4 linked regions of the Caenorhabditis elegans genome follow. The protein of the gene in region 1 purifies or fractionates together with the protein of each later gene. This does not show direct contact. Each region holds a gene or a part of one and is shown in the gene's direction. Other genes may lie near its edges.

Region 1 (6,421 bases):
CTGCCACCAAGGTTTGTATTTTTTTTAGTCAGATAAATTCAATTCAATTCTGGTTTTAAGGTCTCTGCCAAGGCTACAGCTGCTAACGCTTCCGGACGCATTGTCGCTGTCATCGGAGCCGTCGTCGACGTCCAGTTCGATGAGAACCTTCCACCAATCCTCAACGGTCTCGAGGTAGTCGGACGTTCCCCAAGACTCATTCTTGAGGTCTCTCAACATCTCGGAGACAATGTCGTCAGATGTATTGCTATGGACGGAACTGAAGGACTTGTCCGTGGACAGCCAGTTGCTGACACCGGAGATCCGATTAAGATCCCAGTCGGACCAGAAACTCTTGGCCGTATCATGAACGTCATTGGAGAGCCAATTGACGAGAGAGGTCCAATTGCATCCAAGAACTTCGCTGCTATCCACGCTGAAGCTCCAGAATTCGTCGAAATGTCCGTCGAGCAGGAGATTCTTGTTACCGGAATCAAGGTCGTCGATCTTCTTGCCCCATACGCCAAGGGAGGAAAGATTGGACTTTTCGGAGGAGCTGGAGTCGGAAAGACTGTGCTTATCATGGAGCTCATTAACAACGTCGCCAAGGCTCACGGAGGTTACTCTGTGTTCGCTGGAGTCGGAGAGCGTACCCGTGAAGGAAACGATCTCTACCACGAAATGATTGAAGGAGGAGTCATTGATCTCAAGGTTAGTAGGAAAAAATGGTTCATGGTATTTAAATAAACAATTTATAGGGAAAGAACTCCAAGGTATCTCTCGTATACGGACAAATGAACGAGCCACCAGGTGCCCGTGCTCGTGTGTGCCTCACCGGTCTCACTGTCGCCGAGTACTTCCGTGACCAGGAAGGACAAGATGTGCTTCTTTTCATTGACAACATTTTCCGTTTCACCCAGGCTGGATCTGAAGTGTCCGCTCTTCTCGGACGTATCCCATCCGCTGTCGGATACCAACCAACCCTTGCCACTGACATGGGAAGTATGCAAGAGAGAATTACCACCACCAAGAAGGGATCCATCACATCCGTCCAGGCTATTTACGTACCTGCTGACGATTTGACTGATCCAGCTCCAGCTACCACATTCGCTCACTTGGACGCCACCACTGTCTTGTCCCGTGGTATTGCCGAATTGGCTATCTACCCAGCTGTCGATCCACTTGACTCCACCTCCCGTATCATGGACCCCAACGTTGTCGGACAGAACCACTACGACATTGCTCGTGGAGTTCAAAAGATCCTCCAAGATTACAAGTCCCTCCAAGATATTATTGCTATTCTTGGTATGGATGAGTTGTCCGAGGAAGACAAGCTTACCGTTTCACGTGCCCGCAAGATCCAACGTTTCCTTTCCCAACCATTCCAAGTCGCTGAGGTGTTCACTGGACATCAAGGAAAGTTCGTATCACTCGAAGAGACAATCCGCGGTTTCACCATGATTCTCAAGGGTAAGAATATTTAAACGTTGAAAACATTAAAATTAAATCAATTTTCAGGAGAACTCGACCACCTTCCAGAAGTTGCTTTCTACATGCAAGGAGGAATCGATGATGTGTTCAAGAAGGCCGAAGAACTCGCCAAGCAACACGGAAATTAGTTTTATTTTTTTTGTTATAACGCCGACACTTCGTTTTTCTTTTTTTCAATGTTTTTTGGTAGAGATAAATTTAATGTATAGTTTATTGTATTGTTGCGGTAGTGCTGTTTCCGTCAGACCACTATTTGGTGACTCCCAATACGTTGTTTTCCATCTCTCACTCTCCCTTCTTCGAATTCAACTACCAACCCAAATGCCCTAAAAGGCAACAAAAATAAAGCAAAAACATTATTTTTTTCACACCCCAAGTTCATTTGACTTCTAGTATATTTTTATCAGAAATAAACAGAAAGCCGATGATAAAACTGCGAGTTTGTTGATCGTCAAATTTCAGGTTAAACGAATGAGTAACAGAACGTATGCCGATAATCTGTTTCCACAACAGGTCGCGGAGCAGCATGAGGAACAGATGTCTTCTGGTTCTTCGCCCAAAAGTAATTCTCCCAGCAGAAGTATAAGCTCTGTTGAGGCAGCGAACTCTAGAATACACATCGGATGGATGGCCACAACCTTGGACGTTGCCGAGAATCTAGACCGTCATGTTGCTACTTTCTGTACACGACTGGGAGAGTTCAAGTATAACTTTGTCGTCTACCCGATTGGAGGGGTCGTTCGCGCATTCTGGACGCCTAATGGAAGGTTCACATCGACTATCTTACCCAACTTCAACTAGACTACTAATTTTCAGCGCGGAGAATCATCCACCTGTTATTGATTTGCCCGATGTTCAGCTGAGAAATGATCTCTGGGAAAGCTATGTTGTAGGAAAAGTATGGGGGGTTTTTTTTTTAATTTTAATTACTTTTTCGAAGAACAAGCCCTTTATTCTTAAATTAAAACCTGAAATTGTCATTTTTTTCAAGATTTCTCCATGGATCGACTGTGACTCTTCTGATCCAGCCTTTGCCTCGCTTTCCGAGGAACATCTTCTGAAAGAGCTCAGCTACATTTGTTATTTGGGTCTTCAAACGATGGCAATCGAGCTCACACGCATCTCGTCGCCTCGTACTGCTGCCATTTTGAAAAAATGGATTTGGACTAGAAATTCGCGTTTTACGTAAGTAAAATGCAATATGAAATAGCTCCTTTTTTTCAGTAAAATATTTTTTAAAAAAGCAAAGTTTATATTTATTTTCAGTGTTTGGGTTCAACTTCCGTCTGCAATTGAAAAGTGCAAAGATTATGACGCTTTCACAATAGAACATGTTGATTTATGGACAATTTGGGCCGATTTCCGGAAGAATTGTGGTAATTTCAGTGGTGTTTATTTCCAAGTGGCTTTGACGATCTCTTCGGAACTTCCCGATGAGCTTACTGAGCTTAAACTTGTGGACCGTTGGAAGGCCGAGCCCCTAGCAGCTTTTGTTATCGAATCGGGTCTTTTTATTTCTGGAAGAAATGGAGAAGCATCAATTCCAAGGTAAATTTCAAGATTACATTTTCAAATAAATACTAATTTTTCAGTGCCCACATAAATTTATTAAAACATCTATGGACAACTGATGCACTTCGGATCGTTCTTCGTGCCACAACGGATACATTCAAGTACAATACTTCTATCAAATCCGAGTATTCTCAAGCTCTTCGTCATGCAGTTCGAAATGTTAATTACCGAAGTCGTCCTGATGTTGGAGAAGGATCGAATGACTCCACTCATTATCTTAATGTTATCGAATACAAAGATGTTTTGCAAGCACCTCTTCAACCATTGTCTGAAAATTTGGATTCAGGAGTTTATAATACATTCGAGCAGGATCAAATTAAATACGACGTGTATGGAGAAGCTGTAGTTGGAGCATTAAAAGATCTTGGAGCTGACGGAAGAAAAACTGTTGTCATTTACTTGTTGGGAGGAGGACGTGGTCCTATTGTGAGTTTTTGGCTATTAAGTAGAAAAAGTCCCTTTTAATTCGACATGAAAACATATTTTGTGGCCAATTGAAAACACTCCACCCCCTGACCATGGGTCTCGTTTGGAAGTTGGCGACAAGCCGGAAATTCAAACATTTTGCAGTTAATTTTGCCAATTGTCTGAAGCGAACTGCAACATTTTTCAATTTACAGTTTTTCGGTCTAAATGAATATCAAAACGGGCATTTTTATGCGTCTCCATAGTTTTAAATATTATAAATTTCAATTTTTTTCAGGGAACGAAAATTCTGAAATCTGAAAGAGAATACAACAACACATTCCGACAAGGCCAAGAAAGTCTCAAAGTGAAGCTTTATATTGTTGAAAAGAATCCAAATGCAATCGTCACTCTGAAATATATGAATGTGAGAACATGGAAACGACGAGTAACGATTATTGAAAGTGATATGCGAAGTCTGCCGGGAATTGCGAAAGATCGTGGATTCGAACAACCTGACATAATTGTTTCGGAACTTCTTGGAAGTTTTGGAGATAACGAGTTGAGTCCTGAATGTCTAGATGGTGTCACTGGATTTTTGAAGCCAACAACAATTTCAATTCCACAGAAGTACACTAGCTATGTGAAGCCAATAATGAGTACTCATATTCATCAAACAATTAAAGCTCAAAGTATTCCTTATTTGAGTCGTGCAATTCCATCGCATGGTAGAGGTGAACCGGAATTGGATGAAGACGAAATGTGGATTCAAAAATACCCGTTTGTTTTTCAATTTTTTTATAAAAATATAAACATTCTGCCTTATTACCCCGATGCCAAATTTTGCTAGTCCCGGTCTCGATTAGACAAAATTTTTAAAATTAAAAAAAAAATTCAAACAAAAATCTTTGTTATATGCGAAAACGTGTGCACCTTTAAACTATACTGTAATCTAAGACTTGTTGCTGCAGAGTTTTTATTAATTTTTTATAGTTTTTTTTGGTTGGCATTTTATTATTTTAGTTTAGTTTTGATAAATTGATATTGATTTTTATTTAAAAAACTATGAAAAATCATGGGATATTGAAATTACAGTACTCTTCAAAGGTACAAAAAGTTTCGTATTAACGAATATTTATCGTGTAGATACCGGGTACCGTAATATTAGAAAAAGTATCGCTAAAATTCATGTTGTGGTAATAAATATTTCTGAAGTTTTCTACTCTTGTGTACATAAAGGCCCTGGCCGAGTACACGGAGGTTTCTAGGCCATCTTTTCTTGACGGGAGTATCCGCTCCACAAGTTATGCTTCAATTTACTCTTATTTTAGAATAATTTTTAATTAAAAAAAAAGCATAAAAACTTTTTTTTTAAATTTTAATAAACATTTTCTTTCAGACAAGGACATGTTCGTAACAATATGGATCAAATCTACGTTGTATATCTTTCAAAATACATTCCACTTGCCGAAACCACCAAACCAGTATTCACATTTGAACATCCAAATTTCATGAATTCAAGCAATGAGAGAAGCGATTCTATTGAATTTGTTATGGATAGAAATGCAGATGTAAGTTTTTCAGCAAAAAAAAAAAAAAAAACTTAGAAATTCTTAAGAAAATTTAAAAATATTTTTTCGTTGATTATTTGAGGTAATTTGCTTATATTAAATGCAAAATTCGCACAAATGACAGTCCACCTTTGAAAATAAAACAATGAATTGAAAAATTTTATTGATAAAATATGTGTTTATTAAATTAAAAATCAAATAAGTTAGAACCTAATTTATTTCAGCTGATGGGATTCGCCGGCTACTTTGATCTTCAACTCTACAAAACCGTGATGCTTTCAATTGAACCATCAACTCATACACCTGGAATGGTCAGTTGGTTCCCAGCTGTTATTCCACTTAGAGATCAATTGAGAGTTGGAGAAGGTGACAGAATTTCTCTGAAAATCGATCGAAAAGTTGACAATACTGGTGTGTGGTACGAATGGCATGTTGAAAAAAAGGTAACAGTTTTTGATAACTTATTAAGATTATAGTTGAGTTTTTTCCAGAAAACCAATGGCGAATCTGTGAGCACCCCGATCCAGAATCCAAATGGAGAGAGCTATTACATGAGAATGTAGTGCCTAGTTTTTCGCTTTTATAATTATTATTTTCCTGTTTTAATCCTAATTGTTGATGTGTTATTCACTTTTGCGCCCCTATTGAATTTCCCAATCATTCCTAGAATTTTTTCCGTTGGTTTTCCCATTTCCTGTTGCCCATTTTCCGGTTCATTAATTTGAAGATTCTTTTTTGCTCCGGTATCTATCGCGATTCGATTGTTGCTCCTTTTAATTCGATATTAATTGTTTAAAAATTCAGTTTTTAAGTTTCCGTTAATTTTCCGAATTAAAGAGCTTGTTTTATTCTGTTGTTTTTTTGTAATTTTGAATTATAGTTATTAGTTTTCATACTAAAACATATTTTTATAGAGATTTTAAAGTTTTCCCAATTATTTTTCATTTAAAAATATTTTCAGAATGTTGATAAACAGTTCTCGTTTATCAATTTCTTCAACGGGACGATGTCTTTTGGCATCTGCCATGTCACAAATGGACGAAGTATTCGGAGTACAGAAGAGACAAATGGGACGACGGCAACCAAAGCAGGGAAAACCACCAATTTTGCCTCCATCGAAGAAAGTGAGTTCTATTGATTTTTTCACTAGAACAAAAATTGGAACATAAAAAAATCCAATTTTTGCCGAAAAAAATGCGCCAGCGGGGCTTTTTCCCAAAATGACAGAAAATGTCTCAATATACCGAATATAACTGTTAGAAAATTTACAGTATTTTTCTAACTCCTTAAAAATGGGTTTTTTCAGTCTTGCAACAAAAAAACGTGCAACTTTTTATTGAAAAATTTAGAAGAATTCTATAAATTTTTAACAGTTTTAAATTTTGTTACTCTTATCTATAAAT
Region 2 (4,224 bases), on another chromosome or scaffold:
TGGGCTGGCTTTAATCCTATTCTAAGCAGAGCAGGCTGTAGGCCTGCGACGCGGTTGTTATTTACTCAAACCTAACAACCAGGTTTGAGGGCCGCAGGCCCGAATACTCTTAAAAAATTGTGGGCTGGCTTTAATCCTATTCCAAGCAGAGCAGGCCGTATTCATGAGTTTTCCTTTTCCTTCACCGTTTTTTGTAGTTCACAGTGATGATTGAAAACACGCTTATTTTATTGAATACATTCAAATTATTCTTGAACAAAATCTCAGCCTAAGTTATTCGTACAGTGTCGGTCCTGGAGCAATGAATCAAAGTTTAAAGAGATTTCACTTTACACAGTAAGAGCTTCGAGGCGAAGCCTCAAACCTGAATAGTCAAGTTTTCTAAACATATACCCACTCCTAAAATAATTTCAAAGAGATCTCGAATATCCCGTTAACAGGTTCGAGGCGAAGCCGAGAACCTGCGCCAGCTACCTTGCTAATAACTTAGAGCGAATTAACCCTATCCCCATTCCCGAAGGGCTGGCGGGCCCATAGGCCCGCTAGTCGACAAATTAAGCAAATCGGCAGATTGCCGGTGTGCCGGAAATTTTCAATTCCGGCTGTATGCCAGTCTACCGATTTTCCGGACAATTTCATTTTCGGCAAAATGCCGATTAGCCGTTTGCCGGACATCAATTTACCGGAAGTGGCCAAAGGGATTTTTGAAATAAAAACAGATGTAGGAACATTCATAGGATGCCTACAATTTTCCCGATTAAAATTGAAATTTAAAAATTTCCAAGAAAAAATTTCGGGAATTTGCCGATTTGTCAAAAAAAAACCCCACCCCTTACTCAAATTTTTGCAATAGAATTATTTCAAATGTATAATGTTTTTATTGTCTATACTTCTGAGTGAATCGGAAACTAAACTCTTATTAGCTGTTTTTTCTTTCTCTTAATCCTGCGTCTCATTGTTCATGAATTGTGGATATTTTTATTTATAAACATTCTTGGTATACTTTTTTCATTGATTTTGAATAATAGTTGAACATAAAAAAACTGCTCAATTAAAGTACCAAAGTAACATTCATACGCTCCGAAGAACATGCACCTATGCACTTTGGACTTTATAGTGACTACACTGTTGCCATGTGGTCATTTACCTGCGTTACACCATCTGCGTCTCGCACTCTCTTACCACAACACTCTGCCAACACAACAAAGTGCCACACCTGACGACAGTCTGCGGACCATCGATCCCCCCCCCCCCCCCCCCTCCCCATATCTCGCATTCATTTCTCTTGAGTACACCACCCCATTTTCGCAGTTCTCTGGTTCTTTCTGTTTGATCTCTATTAATCTCATATTCTTCTAAATCATTGGCAGTTTTTCCCAAAACAGTATCAAAAGCGTGCCATCCTTATCACCTCCGTGACTTTCTTATCCATACCCAACAACAAGTAGTCTCCGCCCAAGCGGGCCAATTCTCCATCTCTCTCTCTCTCTCTTTACCTTCACAAAACATTTTTCTCTTGATGATAGCAGCAGACGCCACATACACCGTGTGTGTTCCAATTTTTTGTTGTTGTCTTTTCCTCAATTACTAGGATTATCGATTTTTCATAGCAAACTCTCAATAAAGTTTTTTTCAGAAAATGCTCTCCAGAAACTTGACGAAATGCACGCGTCTGTTCAGCACCACAAACAAGGCCATGTCAACCGGCATGGACTTCCAGTTGACCGCTGACCAAGCAGAGTTCCGTGCAAATGTTCGCAAGTTTGTTGCCGATGAGGTCATCCCAGTTGCCGGCGAATACGACAAAACCATGGAGTACCCGTGGGAGATCATCAAGAAGGCTCATGCACAGGGATATCTGATCGCCGACATTCCAGAAGCTTATGGAGGACTTGGAGTTGATATGGTCTCGAATTGTATCATCAGTGAGGAGATGGCATATGGATGCTCGGGTATTGCTACCGCTATCATGGCTAATGATCTTGCACTGACCCCGCTCATTTTATGTGCCAATGATGATATCAAGAAGAGATTCCTTGGTAGAATGATCGACAATCCGTTTGTGGCGGTAAGTATTTTCGAAATATACTTGAGTTCTTACGGTAAATAACACCTAATCAATTTTGTTTTAGTCCTACGCCGTCACCGAGCCAGGAGCTGGATCCGACGTCGCCGGAGTCAAAACCAAGTGTGAGAAGAAGGGTGATGAGTATATTCTCAACGGCTCAAAGATGTGGATCACAAACGCCGGACATGCTAACTGGTGAGTGAGTTCCACGTGGTGAGGATCTACGTCATTGTAAAGTCGGGCAGACTACAATGATTGGTCGACTACACAAAACTTGGACTTTGTACCGCTAGACGTGGAAATGAGAGAGAGAGAGAGAGAAATGGAATAGAGAAAGAAAGAATGCGACAGGAAGATGAAGAACCCTCGTTTTTCTTATCAAAACGTGTACTTATAATCAACAGGTCAAAGTGCAATGATTCTAGGAGACGCGAGAAAAAAGGTCTACCGTAGATATTGTTATGGGCCACTGTAAATCCATAAATATGCTGAATGGAGCATTCTGGAAAAATCTATCTGAAAATAAAATATTTTGTCGCTAAAAAATTCACAACATTCCTACGCTCTTTTTTCAGGTTCTTCGTGCTTGCCCGTTCCGACCCAGACCCAAAGACCGCAGCAGGAAAAGCCTTCACCGCATTTGTCGTTGAAGGGGACACCCCAGGACTCACCAGAGGACGCAAGGAGATCAACATGGGACAACGATGTTCAGACACCCGTGGTATTACCTTCGAAGACGTCCGTGTTCCAGCCGCCAACGTCGTCGGAGCCCCAGGAGAGGGATTCAAGGTCGCCATGAAGACATTCGACAAAACCCGGCCAACTGTTGCAGCACTTGCCACCGGAGTTGCTTACCGCTGCTTGGACGTCGCCACACAGTATTCTCTGGAGAGAAAAGCGTTTGGAACGCAAATTGCCAACCATCAAGGAGTGTCGTTCTTGCTTGCCGAGATGGCCATCAATTGTGAGCTCGCTAGATTGATGACCTACAAGAGTGGTGCAGAGGTAGGTCAAGCAGAATCAAATCAAGCTTTTTGAAGGATAAAATGTTTATGTTAAAATGGGAGGCGCCCCGTAAATTTACAAGTCCGCAAACACCATGACGCATTTGATGCAGCAGGCAGAACATCACAGTGATGTACATAGGAATATGAGCATAAAATCGGTACTATTATAGGAAATTACAAAACGCTATACGAACTTCAAATGCTGATTAAACTTAGAAAAGATTGGTCAGCACGCTAATTGCCAGCCATTTTCTGCAGAAACACACTCAAACTATCATAATTTCCCTCACTCTTCCAGGTTGACGCTGGCCGCCCAGGATCCTACTACGCTTCGATCGCCAAGCTCTTCGCTTCCGACACTGCCAACCAAGCCGCCACAAATGCTGTGCAAATCTTTGGAGGAGCTGGTTTCAACACTGAATACCCAGCGGAGAAGCTGATGCGTGACGCCAAGATCTTCCAAATCTACGAGGGAACTTCGCAAATTCAACGCATGGTCATTGCTCGTCAGTTGCTCGCTCGAGTCGCTCAGAATGGAGGATATTAGCACGCCACCCGTTTTTCCCCGTTTGATCACAGTTTTGTACAAAACACTGGTATATTTTGTAATTGTAAATGATTTGAAAAAAAAAGAAACAGTTTTGATTTACTTGCTTTTTTTATTTACTTTTCGCACTTTACGGTTTGTCACCGTGTTACATATTTTTGTATTGTTTTTTGGTTGTTTTTTTTTAATTCTCAGGTTTTAATTCAAAAGTTGCAGGTTAAATATGCTTTCCCGAATTGCAACATCATCGCTGGGGCTTTCCCGCTCTGCAACCGGAGTCATTGCCACTCAATCTCGTCAAATTTCTTTTGGTAAGTTGAATATACTTTTGGCAACTTATCCAAAGTAATCTAGATTTTAGTAGCTCTTGAGAATAGACAGAGCAAAACTAAATAACTGTACGAAACTTAATTTGACAATTTTCAGACCTCAGCGAAACCCAAAAGGAGATTCAAGACGCCGCTCTCAAGTTCTCCAAGGATGTTCTCGTCCCAAATGCAGCCAAGTTTGACGAGAGCGGAGAGTTTCCATGGGAAATTGTCCGACAGGCTCATAGCCTTGGACTCATGAACCCACAGATTCCGGAGAAGTATGGTGGCCCA
Region 3 (4,572 bases), on another chromosome or scaffold:
AATTTTGGAATATTTTTGGAAAAGGTTGAATAATTAAATACCTCTTCTGCAGTTATCTTCTCACGATGTGAAAATGCAACGTGGAAGAAGAAGCGAATTTTTTGCCAGATGGAGAGAGAAGCCAGTGCACGTTGAAGTGTAACTTGAATAGGACGATCACCGAGAACTACACGACAATTCTGAAATAGTTACTTTGTAAATAAAACTTTTTAAATACTCAAACCTCAGTTGCAACTGCTGCACGATGAGCAGCACGGAATTCTCCTCCGGGAGCCATGGAAAGTTCACGTGTTACATGCGCTGACATTGACAGGAGAAGAACGTGCAGAATTCCTTGAATCGCGCCGTTCTTAAAAAAGTTGAAAATATTACAACATTACAACAACAAAAATATGAGAACTCACTTGTTTCATGGTCTGAATAATTTTTTGAGAGTTGAGATCTTTCGCTTCGCTCAAAAGCCGAGCCTCATCCATCGATATGATTGAAATTCGTGATGGACACAGCTCAAGCATGACAAAATCAGGTTGCACAGCACGAATTGTGTTGGATACGTCTTCCTGCGACTCTTTTGAAAAGTGAGCTGTACCGATGAGATAAATGGTGGAGTCGAGAATCGCTTTCTTCCATTCTTCATCAGAATCGCTCAGCACGGGGTTGCGTGGAGGAATCGCCAGATTTGTAGGCCATTTGAGCACTGTTACTGTAATTATAGAATATAGATATCAGTGTTACATCGAACTGGAGTTTTAAGAAACCTGTATTGGCATTTGGGACGAAGTCATCTGCTCTTTTCCTTCCGAAATGGTACCCTCCACAAACAGGATTGTTCACCACTGCACCATCTTCTGTTGCTTCAGGAGCTTGTTCCAGCTCATAATCCAACTCGGCATCATCTCCAACATGCTCATCAAAATTTGAAGTCGAATCTGCGAGTGATATGATGGACTGCTCGGCTGTCTCACTTGCACCACCAACAACTGAAACTAAAAAAATATTAAATATTTTAAAAATAATTATCTTTCCAAACAACTTCAAGCGATGAAAAAAAACTTACGTCCTTTTTTCGAATTGATTGTCAGAGAACGCATCCGGAATAGATCCTGAACATGGAGATTGTTAATAATTTTTACAAATGTAATATTTCAGCATACCTCTTCAGTCAATTGATCTTCCGATGGTGGTGGCACGTCATTAGGGTCTGGAAACTCAGTTCCATCTGGATTCAAGTTTGACGATGACTCTGACATCTGAAAACCTTATTTTGGATATAACTTGAAATTATAACATGTTTTATTTCATACAATCGCGTACAAAGCGGAGCTTACAAAGCTGAAAAACAATTAAAATGAATCCAAATCACTCCAGGTTTCCATTTTAAGTTACAAGAAAAAAAAACAAAAAAGACCAGCGAAGCGCGTTTGCATTGTGTCTCCGTCTCCATAATTTATGTTGTGACTCGGTTAAAACCGCGCCGCACTCGACATTTTGCAACCATGGCACGATTTCTTCTTTCGTAAATCCCCCGCAATTATTTTCAGTAGTTTTTCAGCTTTATTTCTCAGATTATGTCCCTTTTTCTTCTCTTTCGTTGCTGAAAATCTTTTATGAACAACTGTGGTCACGCGATTTAAAAAGAAAACAGAAATTTCTAGGCTGATTATGTTCTTTTATTTCGTTTTAGGACTAAAGTAGGCTCAAAATAATTTAATAATTATAGATGACTACGGGCAATTTACAAGTTGCAATTTATGGATTCACAGCTCGAAGCAGAGCTTTTGAGCCAGCCGGAATATGCTATGAAGTGAGTTTACTATCACCTATGTCCGCAAATATTTCTTAACTGACATTTTCAGACTCGCCTTATTCGAGATAAACTCACACTGGGCCACTGTACGCTTCCAATCTATAAAAACTCTCCTGTTGCAAAGCCTGTTACGGAACAGCAAAGAAAAAAGTCGTCTGAAGAGCCAGCTGAATTGAGAAAAGATCTTTTTGATGCTGATAATGAAAAATATGAAAAGTACTTGATGAAGCTGGATCCAAATGACTGCAAAAATCAGGATCACTACAAAGTTTTAGGATTGTCGAAGCTCAGATGGCAAGCTACATCTGACGAAATTCGTTTCTGTTGTAAGTTAAAATGAAGTGAGAATTTTTTGAAGAGAATTATTTCAGATCGTCAAAAGGTTTTGAAGCATCACCCGGACAAGAAGAAGCATCGTGGAATTGTTATGGAGAAGGAAGAATACTTTACTTGTATCACAAAAGCTTATGAACAAGTTGGAATGTCTGACGTCAAACGTCAAGCTTTCGATTCGGTCGATCATAAATTCAACGATATTATTCCAAATGAGAAATCAATCAACCATAATAACTTTTATAACGAACTTGCTCCAGTTTTCCAATTAAACTCCAGATGGTCCAATATCAAGCCAGTGCCAGAACTTGGTAAATCAGATGCGACCCGGGAGGATGTCGAGAATTTCTACGATTTTTGGTTTAACTTCCAGTCATGGCGCGAGTTCTCGTATTTGGACGAAGAAGACAAGGAAAGAGGAGAAGATCGGTACGAAAGACGAGAGATGGAGAAACAGAATAAGGCAGAAAGAGAAAGACGGCGGAAAGAAGAGGCGAAGAGAATTAGAAAGTTGGTTGATATAGCTTATGCTAAGGATCCTAGAATTATCAAGTTCAAGAAGGAACAGCAAGCGGTAAGTCTATAAACTTTGCCTAAACTTTGCCGGATTTTCAATTTTAAATTTTAGAAAAAAGATAAAGCAAAGGAAGATAAGCAAAGAGCCATCCGTGAAAAGCAAGAAGCTATCGACCGTGAGAAGCGTGAAAAGGAAGAAGCCGAAGCTAAGCAGAAAGAGGAAGCTGACAGAAAAGCAAAGGAAGAAAGAGTGAGCACAATACACCAGAATATTGTCGATTTTTAAATACTAACTATTATTTTCAGGAGAGAGAAAAGAAAGAGCGTGATATTGCCAAGAAAGCTATGTCTCAGCAGCGTAAGCGTCTGAAGAAACTCGCTGATGAAGCTGGCCACTGGACGGAGAATCCTCGCGATAAGCTCACTGAAATGGAAAGAATTGAGCGGATTTGCATTGGGTTCACTGTTGATCAACTCAGAGAGCTGTGCGAGAAGGTCGAATCACTTTCAATTGCTTCTGAAATTCAAACTGCGCTAACAGATGCTGAAATTCTGAAGAAAGAAGCTGCTGGAGCAAAGGTCACAATCACTGAGGATAAGAACAAAGAAAATGAAAAGCAAGCCGACAAGGAGACATGGACTAGTGAAGAGATTCAATTATTGGTTAAGGTAAGACATAAACGATTGGAAATCATTAATTAATTTTCATATTTTTAAAGGCTTCAAACACATTCCCACCTGGAACCGTGGAGAGATGGGTTCAAATTGCCGATTACATTAACGAGCATCGCAAGGATTCTACGGGTTTACCACCAAAAACTGAAAAACAGGTTATCAAGCAATGCAAAGCTGTTCAAACGATGAACGTCAAGCTACCATCAACTACTCAAAATCAGCTAGGAACTGCGCTACCAGATGAGGATGTCTGGTCAGCAACCGAACAGAAAACTTTAGAGGACGCTATCAAGAAGCATAAGTCAAGTGATCCCGAGCGGTGGGAAAAGATCTCAACAGAAGTTGGCACAAAGTCCAAAAAAGCCTGCATTCGTCGTTTCAAGTATCTCGTTCAAATGGTTAAAAATAAGAAATGATCTTCTAGTCCAAGTAATATCTTCTCTAAATCTTCCTCATCCCTTCATATTATTTCTTGTTTCTCCTCCATAACTCTTGTTTCCGTTCCCATCACATTTTAGCTCGTTATATTGTTTTTTCTTCATTTATTCATTTATTCTTGAAAGCCTTAATCATTCTTGACTCTTGACCAACTCAAATTCAGTAGTACTATGTACTTTTTTTTTTGTTTCTGTCATCAAACTTTTTCTGCAGTGCTCAATATTCATGTCTCAGTTATGAACATTAGATGAACGGTGCGTCCCTATCAATTTGTCATGTTCATTTATTCATTCATTTTCACAATAAGTACAAATTTCAATAGTGATGGTGACGGTGGTGATGATAACCGTCCATGTAGATAACTTCAGGTTGAGTATAGATGATTGGAGTAGCAGTTGGATACACGATTGGTTGAACACTTGGATATATGGGTTGAACCATTGGTTGCATAATTTGCTGAACAACCGGAACAATCTGTGGTTGGGGAACAATCATTGGAGGCGGTGGTTGAGCAACAACGATCGGAGTTGGAGCAACAGGCATTTGCATTACACCGATTTCAGTACCTAGAATTATTAAGATTGGAAATCAAAAAACAAAAAAAAATCCCCAGAATATTAAGATAAAAACCAACCTCCTCCGTTATGATGTTTGAAGTTTTCGAAATGAATTTTTCCAACTCGAAGATCTCCTCGAACAGTCATTGCAACGATTCGTTTTGGGCATTTATGATGATGATAATGTCCGATGTGATGTCCGTCCACGTGGATCTGGAATTAAATTGATTGTTTTTACGAGAATAT
Region 4 (4,661 bases), on another chromosome or scaffold:
CTTCTCAGAAAATCAATCATCAACACGTTGAGCATTTTCTTCTGATAAGCTTGTTTCTGAAATTTGGATTTTTTATAAATACCTAGGAAACTCTAAAACTGACCTCTTCATTGCTGATGTTCTCCATTTAGTTTTATTATTTAGGTAAATTAATTGCATAAAAAAATAAAGTTGACAATCAATATGGTAAGAAACTCGCTCAACGCAGGGTCAGCAGCGACGCAGACAACGAGACAAAGGCAGTGTAGGCAGCGAAACGACGGCAGAGATGTGTTTTGTGAGAATATAGGAGAATGAGGACGTAAGGAGAAAAAAAATCGTTGAGTGAACGATGAACGCTCTTATTAAATTAAAAAAAAAGAAACTAAAAATTAATGTAGAGAATTCAGTTCGAATTACCGCCGTAGCCCAATAGAGCGAGTTTGCGGACCTCTCAAGAAAAAGTTTTTACCTTAAAAGATTAGTGTGTCAATTTCAATTTTAAGTTTTCCCGTGTTTCTTTGGATCTTATTCCTGCTTGCGCATGTTTACATAAATTAAATGTACTCTGATTCCCGTTTTACAATGCAATTTGTTCTCTGAACCTCCAATTTTCTCATCATATTCGACGCTTTCAATCCTGAGCGAAAACAAAACACCTCGAGAAGATCGAATTGTCATCGTTTCTTGTAAAATTTTGAAAAAAGGTGACAAAACCTCCGGCATTTTTTGTTTGCGTCGTAGCCTAAAAGTAACAAGAGTGCAGGGGAGAAAAAAAAGTAATTCAATGCCAAACACCACTTTGTTTTTTGTTCATTCGTCGGCATTCGTCGGCACTCGTTCTAAAAGAACAGAAACTTATTTTCTCCTATCATTGCGTTCAATTTTTGAATTCAGGAAATACTTGAATCCTTATCCTTGAAATATTTTGAAATTTTTCTTTTCGAAAACCTATTGAGGTCAATTTTCTAGAAAGATAACATCTCACAGAACTCCGAGTGTGGTCTACAAGATAGTCACAAATTTCCCCCAATCTCTTATTCACTGCAGAAATCTGTCTCCGTCTCTTTGCTTATCTGGTTTCCTCGTTTTTCTTTTTTCTGTGCACTTTCCGTCAACCAGTTCAGTTTTTCTAACTGTACCCAATTATTGTTATAATAATAATTACACGGCCTATAAACAAAACAAATCGCCTCCACTAGTCAATATATAAATAAGCGATGGAAGTTGAGTGGAGTAGGCCACAAAATAATGATGATGACATTGATTGTTTGTCCAAAAATGAAGTAAAGAGCGGGAGGCGCCTCCTCACAAAAAACTAATCAAAGTCGTCTCTCACGTTTTTACAACTTTCCCCGAATTATCCAAAAACGTTCACATCAAATTTATAAATTCTGAGTAATGAAAAAATCCTTTCTGGCATCACTTTTTTCGAAACATTATCATCATTGTTTCATTGATGTTTCCCGAAATTGAACCATTTTGATCAAAATTTCACACATGAGAATTGTTTTCTGAAATAAATTGGTCATTTACGCCATAAGAGACTTTTAAAAATCAATTTTGTAACCGCAATCTATATTTTTCTTCTCTCCGTCACTCTTAAAATCCTTTTTTTTAATTTTCAATGGCTTTTTCCAGAAATTAAAATGGCCGAAGCTGATATTGCCGTCATCGGATTGGCCGTTATGGGTCAAAATCTTATTCTGAACATGAATGATCACGGATTCACTGTTTGCGCCTTCAACAGAACTGTCAAATTGGTCGACGATTTTCTTGCCAATGAAGCTAAAGGAACTAAGATTATTGGAGCTCATTCAATTGAGGAAATGTGCAAGAAATTGAAAAGACCACGTCGTGTCATGATGCTCATTAAAGCCGGAACTCCTGTCGATATGATGATCGATGCAATTGTTCCGCATCTTGAGGAAGGTGATATTATCATTGATGGAGGAAATTCTGAATACACTGATTCAAACGTAAGTTTTTGTTTTTTTCTAAATATTTATTTATTTTATTCATTAGACTTTTCTCTCTAAAAATAAAATAAATATGTAATATAGTGAATCGATTGTGAACTGACAAACAACAATTATTTTCAGAGACGCTCCGAGCAACTCGCCGCAAAGGGGATCATGTTCGTCGGCTGTGGAGTTTCCGGAGGAGAAGAAGGTATGAATTTGTATTTTGAATTGTTTGCAAAGAGTTGAGGTATACGGTAATTTATTTAAAAATACAATAACAGGGATTTAATGACCAGATTAAACCAAATGTTTGGAAATATGCTTTTTTAGATTAATATTAGTTCACTGGTCCACTTGCATCCACCGAGTTGGTTTTCATTGATATTTCTCTTTCCAGCGACTTTTGTTGCTTGTAATGTTCAGGAACCGGCTTATTGATCACAGTTAGCCTAGAAAAATGATTAACCAGTAAATAGTGAACAATTAAAAGTAAGGTTAATTGGAAAAATGATTAAAAACCATTCCTATGATGCTAAAATGACCAAATATCAAAATAAAACTCTTCGCTAAATTAACATGAATATTTAAAACATAATTATAACATAAAACCAAAATAAATTTTTTGGTACACTACTTCCAAAAAAATTGGTGAAAACTGAGTTCGCACCGCTTTTTGACTCGAAATACAAAAATTTTACAAAATTTTTTGAATATATTTAATATTATTTTTGGTAATTTAAATACAATATTAATGGTTTTTAATCATTTTCCAATTAACCATACTCTATTGCTAGGTTTAAAAAAAGCTAACCAAAAAGTGGCAAAAACTGCCTTATGATCCGACGGTGTTGTTCCTCTCATACAATCGTACTGAATGTTTTGGAGCCATTCCGAGTTTCTTACCCAAAAGAGAACGCGGTCCTAAAATATTGAAGTCTTAGCAATGTTTGTAATCAGAAATTACTCACAGTAAAAGACGGAATCCTTTTTGGCACATAATTGTCTGTGTCTGGCTCGAATTTATGTGTTGGAGGGAATTTAATTGGAGCTTCCTTGAAATCTGTGAATGCTAATTGCTTTTTCCTATGACTGGCAAGCTCTTCTGTTTCAAAAACATCTCTAAATGTTTTCTCTGTAATCTTTTCCGGATCTCTCCAGTCTACATTGCTCTCTACAGTAACCCGGAAATTCAAATCTCCAATCCAAAGCACCACCTGAAAATGATTTATGGAGGAAGTGTCGCCCTTCAGAGGCGCTTACGTCAGAACCAAAAATTTCGTCTTTTGCATGTGCATGAAATCTGGCAAGCTGAGGAAAACGAAGAGTGCGGACCACTTTAGCGTAGTCTTGGATACGTTGTTGTGGTGTTGCATCTGTAAGAATATAACATTTTTGTGTTCTCATCATTAGTCTAACAATGTAAGGGACCACTCACGTGATAAATGACATCCGATAAGCACTATAAATCGCTGATATAAACGAAGACATACCGCGATTGCACCTTTCGTTCGAACTGGTTTTGCCATTGCACCAGATGCGATAAATGATACTTGTGGTTCTAGAAATTTTAAACTATTAGATTCTAGATTATAAGATCTGAACTCACGGATTGCATATCGAAGATGTTTCTGTCGAATGAAGACTATTACCATTTGACTCCAGGCTCTATGTGAAAGGTACAGACGATGACCATTGAGAACTGGCTCAAGAATTCGTAATGCTTCTTCATGAAAAGTTCTGAAACTGATTTTAGTTAATCGAAAATTAATAGTTTTCGGAACTAACGGTGCTGTGGAAGGTATTTCTTGCAATGAGATGAAAAATATATCACTATCCATTTCTTGTCCTCGTTCTGCTATTTTCTGAGCGAGATGGCTCAATATTTTCACACCTTTTTCGTTAATGTTCCATGTCACGGTACATACTTTCAGTTTTCTATCACCCATAGCTTCAATAACGTCGTAACTGACAATTGGAACATTCCCAAATCCTTTTACAGCAGGGCTAAATATCATATGTTCAATGAATGATGAAAAAAAAGTAATCACTTACGCAGTATTTTGCGTTTCAATGCAGTATGTCCAATTGCCGTCACTGATCTCGTTGACTGAAATGAAGTGTAATGGGTGTCAGAACAATAGGATTAAGTCGGGGAAGGATTAGAGGCTTACATGAGGCGCTGTTACGCCACGTGGCAGGTTGAGAGGAAGAACGGAGCCATGGAGGGTGTCGAGTAGGAGTTTGATGTGATTGCTTCTCACTTGAAGAATCTCCTGATTTTGGATCACCTCCAGATGCAGAGGGAGTGTTGGCATCTAAAAGAAATTGATACGTCCAAATAAATGTAGAATACTAGATTTCAACTCAAATGTTTCTCAGTCTTACCCATTTACTGTATGAATTAAATAACTTGGCTTATTGCTTCGTTTCAACCAACTAAGCTTCGAAATGCATATTGAAAATAGAGAACATAAATCCAATAGCGACGGACTCTATCAGAGGCTTCAAGTATAGGAACGGGAGGGAAGAGCGCGCACTTTTGTATGTCAGAAAGCCCGCGTTTTTCGTGTGCAATTCGCTCGTTTTTGTCCGATGATAAAATGACGAACAAGTATAACGGACGACTCTGGTGTTGGTGGTGCTATATAATGTTATGTAGATTTCGGTGTGCAAAGGGAAATGGGCAAGTGCAGAGATGAATGGGGACAGGAGAAAAGT

What was found.
Region 2: the proteins of prmt-5 (region 1) and acdh-7 fractionate together in Caenorhabditis elegans (co-fractionation; one large-scale study listed by BioGRID). This does not show direct contact.
Region 3: the proteins of prmt-5 (region 1) and dnj-11 fractionate together in Caenorhabditis elegans (co-fractionation; one large-scale study listed by BioGRID). This does not show direct contact.
Region 4: the proteins of prmt-5 (region 1) and T25B9.9 fractionate together in Caenorhabditis elegans (co-fractionation; one large-scale study listed by BioGRID). This does not show direct contact.

What each region holds. Positions count from the first base shown.
Region 1 is NC_003281.10:5,228,638-5,235,058, forward strand, and holds prmt-5 (Protein arginine N-methyltransferase 5), read left to right. Parts: upstream 1-1,917; 5' UTR 1,918-1,941; coding exon 1,942-2,237; intron 2,238-2,286; coding exon 2,287-2,368; intron 2,369-2,461; coding exon 2,462-2,655; intron 2,656-2,736; coding exon 2,737-3,018; intron 3,019-3,062; coding exon 3,063-3,468; intron 3,469-3,745; coding exon 3,746-4,227; intron 4,228-4,846; coding exon 4,847-5,018; intron 5,019-5,242; coding exon 5,243-5,461; intron 5,462-5,509; coding exon 5,510-5,581; 3' UTR 5,582-5,870; downstream 5,871-6,421. Other genes in the region: atp-2 (ATP synthase subunit beta, mitochondrial), read left to right, coding at 1-11, 61-690, 738-1,449, 1,498-1,598; mrps-26 (Small ribosomal subunit protein mS26), read left to right, coding at 5,981-6,142. UniProt on the Caenorhabditis elegans protein: Catalyzes the symmetrical dimethylation of arginine residues in targets such as small nuclear ribonucleoproteins, histone H2A/H4 and cbp-1.
Region 2 is NC_003284.9:17,214,518-17,218,741, reverse strand, and holds acdh-7 (Medium-chain specific acyl-CoA dehydrogenase, mitochondrial), read left to right. Parts: upstream 1-1,636; 5' UTR 1,637-1,639; coding exon 1,640-2,068; intron 2,069-2,132; coding exon 2,133-2,263; intron 2,264-2,643; coding exon 2,644-3,073; intron 3,074-3,373; coding exon 3,374-3,622; 3' UTR 3,623-3,724; downstream 3,725-4,224. Other genes in the region: acdh-10 (putative medium-chain specific acyl-CoA dehydrogenase 10, mitochondrial), read left to right, coding at 3,846-3,933, 4,049-4,224.
Region 3 is NC_003282.8:6,584,151-6,588,722, forward strand, and holds dnj-11 (DnaJ homolog subfamily C member 2), read left to right. Parts: upstream 1-1,720; coding exon 1,721-1,804; intron 1,805-1,856; coding exon 1,857-2,133; intron 2,134-2,178; coding exon 2,179-2,714; intron 2,715-2,768; coding exon 2,769-2,906; intron 2,907-2,962; coding exon 2,963-3,325; intron 3,326-3,375; coding exon 3,376-3,747; 3' UTR 3,748-4,036; downstream 4,037-4,572. Other genes in the region: F38A5.2 (TraB domain-containing protein), read right to left, coding at 42-179, 224-349, 405-703, 759-986, 1,058-1,103, 1,155-1,250; lec-11 (Galectin), read right to left, coding at 4,085-4,335, 4,404-4,539.
Region 4 is NC_003282.8:10,768,033-10,772,693, forward strand, and holds the start of T25B9.9 (6-phosphogluconate dehydrogenase, decarboxylating), read left to right. Parts: upstream 1-1,620; 5' UTR 1,621-1,628; coding exon 1,629-1,958; intron 1,959-2,081; coding exon 2,082-2,151; intron 2,152-2,185; exon of another isoform or gene 2,186-2,280; coding exon of another isoform or gene 2,281-2,392; intron 2,393-2,754; coding exon of another isoform or gene 2,755-2,864; intron 2,865-2,911; coding exon of another isoform or gene 2,912-3,157; intron 3,158-3,203; coding exon of another isoform or gene 3,204-3,316; intron 3,317-3,378; coding exon of another isoform or gene 3,379-3,501; intron 3,502-3,549; coding exon of another isoform or gene 3,550-3,680; intron 3,681-3,728; coding exon of another isoform or gene 3,729-3,947; intron 3,948-3,995; coding exon of another isoform or gene 3,996-4,050; intron 4,051-4,114; coding exon of another isoform or gene 4,115-4,258; intron 4,259-4,328; coding exon of another isoform or gene 4,329-4,332; exon of another isoform or gene 4,333-4,661. Other genes in the region: T25B9.8 (Lin-15A/B-like domain-containing protein), read right to left, coding at 1-56, 104-127; inpp-1 (Inositol polyphosphate-related phosphatase domain-containing protein), read right to left, coding at 2,281-2,392, 2,755-2,864, 2,912-3,157, 3,204-3,316, 3,379-3,501, 3,550-3,680, 3,729-3,947, 3,996-4,050 and 1 more. UniProt on the Caenorhabditis elegans protein: Catalyzes the oxidative decarboxylation of 6-phosphogluconate to ribulose 5-phosphate and CO(2), with concomitant reduction of NADP to NADPH.